Nothobranchius furzeri: one gene and its partner. The protein of the gene in region 2 purifies or fractionates together with the protein of the main gene of each other region. This does not show direct contact. Links are inferred from orthologs where the notes say so. Each region holds a gene or a part of one and is shown on either strand. Other genes may lie near its edges. The genes, in order: setd1ba and wdr82.

Region 1 (3,404 bases), on a different chromosome or scaffold from region 2:
TCTAAATGTGTGATAGTGAGCACTTCTGCTTTGCTGAGATAATCCATCCGACCTCACAGGTGTGCCACATTAAGATGCTGATGATGCTTGATGTGGCATCTCATGAAAAATCGGAGCAGAAACAAAGGTGTTGCGTTTATATTTTTGTTGAGTGTTTTTATGAGCTTCTTTATTCTGAAACACAACAAATGGTTTTAGTTCTGTTTCTATTTACAGCTGAATAAATATCTTCTGGCATATTTAGTCAAAATCAAATTTCAAACTTCAGTTTTCATCCCCTAAAACTCCTCTAGAGCCCTGATTATCCCATAACTTTTTACAAACCTAAACTCACATTAAACACAGGGAAGTACTAAAATATTAAGTATTTGGAATCAATTAACCATTCTAAATAGATCTTATTTTTGCACATTAAAAAGTGTTTATTCTTTAAAAGCATGATTTAAACTTATGAAGTGTTTTTTTGTAGTTGTGTCAATACATTTCCTGATTCCGCTTGTGTAAAAAAAATGATCAGGAGGATTTATGTTATGTGACGAGTGAGTGCTTATTTCAAATAAAAGCTTTTTAATAAAATATGTAATGACTGCCCTGCTGCTTTTTAAGAAAATGCAGCAAAAGTGTGACAGTTTGGGATCCGATCAGAACCTGTCCTGCTCTACAGCTAATAAACAAACAACCACCTTTTTAAGGATGTATGCAAAACTTCTTTATTTCAGTTCTTTTCCTCTGTCATACATTTGTCATATAATAAATAGACACAAGAAACCGGCTGAGGCTTCAGTCCTCTTTCCAGTGCCGATTCTGCACCTTCTTTTTTTATTTATTTGAATTCTCCACACCGCAAAAAACCTTTTCATAGAATTTACAACACAAAGTTTAAAAAACAAAGGAGCTTGACACAAGCTGATTTTTCTGCTACCAGCTCAGAGCTCTCCTCATTATGATACATAGACGTCTGAGCCGTGTTCAAGTAGCGCATCCCGAGAAACAAATATATATATATATATTTATATTTATATAATATTCACAGTTAGATACTTACACATTTTAGCATCTCAAAGTAAACAGACAGAAAAATGAAGACGTTTCTACAAGAAACAATCTTTCCAAAAGGGAAGTGGAGACTTTTTTCCTGTACACATGCTGGACCTTTTTCTCTTTAAATAAACAACCTCTAAACCAACCGATTCTGTTCACAGAACCCTGAAAATATTTTAAATATTCAGTCTTTGTGTTTTTTTTAAATAAAAAGAGAAAGAAAGACGCATCTTAAAAGTGTTTTGTTTGTGAAGATAAAAAATCTTCTGTACAAGTTTTCATTTACAATATGAACACCAGTGTTGGAAAACTCAACAAAAACCAGCTTTTTTAACCCAAACAAACGAAAGGGGGAAAAAAAAAGCAACAACTGACTTGGACTTGAGAAGCAGAAGTGCCAGACCTCCAGAACTTTTTAAAATCCTGATAAATAGTAAATAATGAGTGAGCGGGGAGGTGTAGGAGCCTCTGACGCCGCTGGGAACGTTAAACAGAGGAGGGAATATGAGTGAAGCCAAAACAGCAGCAACATCAGGTTTAACACATCTGTATGGCACGCAAAATGAAAAATAACTTTCGCTCAAAGCTGGGGGGCATAGTTGAGCTTGTTCAGTGATTTTGTATTTTTCTGCACTAGGTTAGTTCTGCTGGGTGGCCACCAGGGGGCAGTGCCCTCAAAACAGCGAAAGAGATACTCTGAATGAAGCACGCACCGCGCACCCACACCCACACACACACACACACACACACACACACACACACACACACACACACACACACACACACACACAGTGTCTTTACAGAAACAAACCAGCTAAACAATTACGATTAACGAAAATTTTGCAGGTCTTTTTCCAAACTTGTTGCATAAACAAACAGGAAGCAGCACGATCCGTTCTTGGCTGGTGGAAGAAGACATTATTGGACAGAAATGATTTGTTGCTTTCAATCATTTGAGTTTGATTCGACTTCAGGAAAAGCGGTGCAGCAGAGGGAGCAGCGAGCCATTCCGCTGTCCTCCAACCTGCAGAAGAAGAAATGTTGTGCATCTGAGCGGTGCTTTAGTTTTGTACCATGTGTGCTGTGGGTAAAGCATATGAGGCATATGAGGGAACTGTAAAGAACGTGTGGAGAATGACTTAAGGAGATGTGCTGAAATACTGTCCGACACCAAGGGAGGGGAAAACACTCCACCGACAAGTCGAGGGTTTAAACAAAGAGAAAAAAAAAGTCTGTTTTAAGAGCACCATGAATTGTAAACAATCAGAGTTTTAGTGAAAGAAGAGCGTCGTTCAGGCAGCTTAGCTCGATGGGGGTGACTTGCTGGGTTGTCCTCCTCCTAGTCCGAGTCTACGACCAGCCTTCTCACAGCCCATTAGAGGTCTTTGACCTGAAGATGGATGCTAGTTGAGCGTCCCTCTGCAGTTCTCTGCTCCACACAAACATGGGATCTTCTCGTCCTCGATGGGGAACTTGTAGTCATACGTGATCTCCTCGTTCACATTGATCGGCTGCCTGGAGTAGATCACGATCTTCTTCTGGGACTCCACTGTGATGACTTTAGCATAACAGTTGGGCTGTGAGGAAAGAGGGGTGATTGTTTATGGATTCCAGTTATGAAAGCAAAAATTCTCTCAGCTGCATTAATGCAGGTGGGGATCAGCCTTACGTTGCAGCTGTGGTTGATGAAACGGGCAAAGTTGCCGCATTTTGTGGCGTCGATTATGGTGTCGTGGTCCACCCGGAACATGTAGCTGCTACCGATGCCCTCCTCTTCGTAGCGCTTCTCCCGCATGTCAGCGATCACCTGCAGAGAGCAAAGTGTGGCACGTCAAGTCGTGGATGGCTTTGGATTAGACATGCATAAAAAATCTGAATCAGCCTAAATTAGAAGTTCTAGAAAGGTTAGGGGTGTGGATGTGTTCATGTCAACAAAGTTTTTTCAACAGATTCTGTAAATTGTTCTCTGAGATAAGTCAGCATCAGCAGGTCGGAGCTGCACAATGATATAAAACCTGTATCAGGCCTGAAAACCAAATCTCAATAACAGGGCTCCCTCACTAGCACCGGCTCCACTCCGCCTACGGACTTCTACGCACATCTTTTGGCCCGTCCACGTGCTCAGAGATGCGCTCATGACATCACTGATGTTTTGCGCCACTTTTGGAGACCGGCCATCTGCTTGGTCACGTCTGCGTTCCTAAGGACGTATGGAAGGATGTGTGTAATCAGCCCAGTCAGGCTGGAGCTGACTGCACGGAGTGGAGCCGACCCTAGTGTGGAAGGGGCTTTAGTCACCTGCACCCAAATATTAAAGTTCTTCTCCTTAAAGGCACATTTGGCAGTTTTACTTGCTTTTAGCA
Region 2 (4,318 bases):
ATCTTCCGTGCGCTCTATGCTCTTCCTGATTACAGTGTCTGGCTGCACAGCTTCCACTGCCGCTGCAAAGACCTTCCGGGCCCGTGAGTCCATTGACATTTTGCAGAATGTAGGTTTTGGCCGGCCCACGAGGGCCAGAATAGGCTGAGGCCGGATCAGGGAAAGGACGCGGGCCATTGATGGATCAATGGGTCTGAGAAATTCATGAATCAGGACAAAGAATGACAATAAAAAACCTTTAACATGTGAAGACATTTGAAATTTATTACATGCCTCAAAGAAACTTGGAATTAGTACACCAACAATTCCTCGTTGTACAAAAACGAAAGAAAGGAGGTGTGGAAAAACCTCTGCATCTAATTTTATCCTCATCCATGTGCATAATATCTTGCTTTTGAAAAGCAACCATAAAAATACTAATCCAATAACTAAAACTTGTATATTTGTTATCAACATTCTACTTTTGCAAACTTTCACTCCAATATTGAGCTCTCTGAGATTCCTTAAGACTGCCTACCTGTGTGGGTCGTGAATGGTGGCATTTAATGCCTGCAAATTCCAGTGGAATCCCGTCGTGTGTGTTCTAGCTCAGCAGTGGAACAAATATCTGGCCCGACAATGATTGGTGTTGTTTAAACTCTGTTTAATGATTAACTTTAACGGATCATAGACCATGCTAAAGTGCTCTTCATCCAGTTGAGACATATTATTTTACTTGAACACGTGTGAATCAAATTAAATTAAGTTTAAAAGGCAAGTTACCCCCAAATCAACTTTTTTTTCTTCTGATAAACTAAACTAGTGTCTAATTGTGTAGACGTGCATAGTCAATATTTTGGCACTTTAAAGCATCTTAGTTAAAATTGAAATAATTTGCCTAAAACTGTCAATGTTGACAGTTTTGTTGCCAAATACCTGAAATGTTTCTATCCATGGAGTCAAAATTCCTGCTGGAACTTTCTTCGTTACCTCTGCGTTCATGTTCGAACATCAAAATTCCACACTTACTATTATAAAAAATACGTATTAAACGTCAAAAACACAATAACTGTCTTGTGTTTAAATCGGAACACTCTGAAATTTCAAAGTAAGATCAGCTAAAAACGCGAAAGATTTGATTATTCACGCTGTTCTTCACTGTGTTTCTGCTGTTTGTATTGGTGGTAATTCTCGCGATAACACGCTGTCTCGTCACGTGTTTTTTCACCCGTGTCAGGTGACTTCCGTTATAGAGCGACGGACATTGCGTTTCCCTTCCCTTCTGTGTTACAGGCGGGATTTTGTCGTTGTTTCTGATTTGAGTTCTCGATAATTGTGACTTGTAGTGTAACTGTTGCTCACATATCCACACGAATTTCCTCAAGTTTACTTTCCAAATCAAGTTCAAAGAGAACGAGGGCCTATTTCCCCTCAAGACAACCATGAAGCTAACGGACAATGTGCTACGGAGCTTCAGGGTTGCTAAAGTATTTCGTGAGAACTCAGACAAAATTAATTGCTTCGATTTCAGTTCGAACGGAGAAACTATTATTTCCAGCAGCGACGATGACTCTATAGTGTTGTACGACTGCCAGGAAGGAAAGTAAGGGCGATTTCTGCTGAGTTTACTTTTTGGAATTAGCTTCATGCTAAGCTAACACCGAGGCCTGTCGCACTGCGTAGGACTCAGCGGTCAAATAAAAATACGCGTTTGAATTACGCTAGAGTAATAATTATGTGGTTATCTGATTGGTAAAATATACCCGTAAATAAAACCCAACATGTTAAAATTTTTTGTAATAGTTAGCTTGAGTGATGGTGTAAAGAGGGCAGAAATTTGAATTGTTAAGTTTTATAAAACTTATTTTACAGCATCATCAGTAATTTTGAATCTAAACGAGTATTCACATGAGCATGTGCGAGCATTATTTCATATTTAGCTCCAATACAATTATGTGGATACATTATTTTTAAGGTAAATGAGAGAAAACCAAATGTGTAGAAGATTTGGATTAGCATGTAATCAGATTTAAAACAAGAACGGCAGAATATAGAACTTTAACAAAATAGCAGTTGGTTAGTTTTATTTGTTCTGATTAAAATTCTTGATGTTAGTCTGATCACGTTTTGTTTGTTCTGATTAATTACAGGCCCAAGAGGACTCTGTATAGTAAAAAGTATGGAGTAGATCTGATCAGGTACACACATGCTGCAAACACTGTGGTCTACAGTTCCAACAAAATTGATGGTATGTAAACTAATGTCATTTCCATAATTACATTCATTCAACTGTGAATGGGGATGAATACTTTTCTTGGTCTGTAAGGGTTTGTTTTTTTTAGCCACAGCATCATGATCTGTTGTATTGACTGAACTCTACAGGATGTTTCTCCACCTCCAGCTTCTCCATCACAGCTCATCATGCTGCTCACTGTAGTCTGAGGTAGTTGTTTGTACAGTTTGAGGGTCTGTGATTCTGCCCCATACAGGAGCTAACTGTACAAGTGACTGCCTTGCCCACGGTTGAGTGTACTCATCACATGTTGATGCTGGTGGATTCGTTTTAATCATTTACTCCCGCTGCAGGTCTTACATGTTTATTGACTGACACGAGTTTAATGATGTGTCTCTTTTCCTACAAGACACCATCAGGTACCTGTCTCTTCATGACAACAAATACATCCGCTATTTTCCTGGACACAACAAGAGGTGAGGGCTGAGTAACTATTTCTGTATCTGTTTACTGTTTTATTTTTGTAAGTTTTTGTTTTCCTTTAAAATGTTTCAGGTTTAAAGTTTTTACTCGTCATGTTTTGTTCTGTGGTTGTGTTTGTTGTGACCAGGGTGACTTCTCTCTCCATGTCTCCTGTGGATGACACATTTATTTCTGGCTCATTAGATAAAACCATCCGACTGTGGGATCTGCGGTCGCCTAACTGCCAAGTAAGGGTCCAATTTCAAGCAGTCAAAAGTGCCAGCTAAAATGTTTCACATTTATGATAACAGCTTTTCATTTGGTGCGCTGTCCTTGCTGATTCACTCGTCAAATGAAAAAACTGATTTTGACCTTTGCTATTATTTGTCTCTTTTAGGGACTGATGCACCTGCAGGGAAAGCCGGTGTGCTCTTTTGATCCAGAGGGTCTCATTTTTGCTGCAGGAATAAATTCAGAAATGGTTAAACTCTATGATCTGCGGTCATTTGATAAAGTAAGAATTGCTTTTGTCTTTTTTTGTTTTTTTTTTATACAGGTGCTTTAAATCCTAGAACAGATTTAAATTTTGAATGAATGAAACCTTTAACAGTCTGGATCAAGGCTTCTCAGGTCTGCTCCGCGTGTTTTAGCTGCTCCAACACACCCGATTCAATGGTTGAATCTCCTCATCATCGTGTCCTCAAAGTTTTTGGAAGTCTGTTAATCACCCATTGATGCAAACCAGGTGTGTTAGTGCAGGAAAACAGAAAACATGCAGGTAGTGGCTCTTTGATTGCAAAGCGCAGGTTTAGAAAATACAAGAAAAAAATCAGATGGAAAAATGCTGCTCACACACACACACACACGCACGCGTGGAGAAACAGAAACTAAAATAAACAATGGTGCATACAGACAAATATTACACCTGGAGCCCTTTAAATCTTCTGCACAATTATAATCGATGTATTATCAATGTCATGTGATAAACTAAACAACCGTGATGATGTTTATTTTTTTTAAGCTGTATTTTATTTGAACTTATTAAAACACAGCAGGTTAAAGACACACAAGACTAGAGCTGGGCATTGATACAAATTTCAAGAATCTATTTAATTCCGATTCTCAAGAGTTAGAATAGATTGTTACGATCTGATCTGACTCAGTCTGTTCCAGTTTGATATCGATATGGGTCAAGAAAACAAATACATGCTGGCAGTGGGCTTGGTGACAACACTTATTAAACTTAACATAGATAATTAAATAAATTCTTAGTGTTTGTAATGTTACAGCAAACACATGAAACCTGTGTTATGGGTCAGGAAACGTTATAGCGATCATTACAAGCAGCTAATTAGCCTAAAGAGGCAACCATCCCTCTTCTTCATTGTGTTTTCTTTAATGATGTTCATCTTCCTCGTACTGCCATGGAAGGTGGGTTTACTTAGCAGATTTTGCACGTTTCTCTTGAATTTTTATAAAATGCTCCCAGATTCTTGAGCTCCATTGCTATCTCACCATGATTGTTTGGGGTTTTCCGGTGACACTACGCTGACCTTGAATGCCACTCTTGCCCATGTGCATCCAGGGCAGAAGGCACCAAAGTGTACAGCGGCAGTTTTGAGAGAAAAAGACAACTTAAAACTT

The links.
Region 1: the proteins of wdr82 (region 2) and setd1ba purify together in Homo sapiens (affinity purification with western blotting; 4 studies listed by BioGRID, with this or other methods). This does not show direct contact. The link is inferred for Nothobranchius furzeri from reciprocal best matches to the Homo sapiens genes WDR82 and SETD1B.

Annotation. Positions count from the first base shown.
Region 1 is NC_091746.1:52,004,271-52,007,674, reverse strand, and holds the end of setd1ba (histone-lysine N-methyltransferase SETD1B-A), read right to left. Parts: intron 2,849-3,404; coding exon 2,711-2,848; intron 2,619-2,710; coding exon 2,445-2,618; 3' UTR 685-2,444; downstream 1-684. UniProt on the Homo sapiens protein: Histone methyltransferase that catalyzes methyl group transfer from S-adenosyl-L-methionine to the epsilon-amino group of 'Lys-4' of histone H3 (H3K4) via a non-processive mechanism.
Region 2 is NC_091743.1:64,676,800-64,681,117, forward strand, and holds the start of wdr82 (WD repeat-containing protein 82), read left to right. Parts: upstream 1-1,225; 5' UTR 1,226-1,421; coding exon 1,422-1,582; intron 1,583-2,129; coding exon 2,130-2,227; intron 2,228-2,621; coding exon 2,622-2,688; intron 2,689-2,822; coding exon 2,823-2,922; intron 2,923-3,071; coding exon 3,072-3,188; intron 3,189-4,318. Other genes in the region: glyctk (glycerate kinase), read right to left, coding at 1-177. UniProt on the Homo sapiens protein: Regulatory component of the SET1/COMPASS complex implicated in the tethering of this complex to transcriptional start sites of active genes.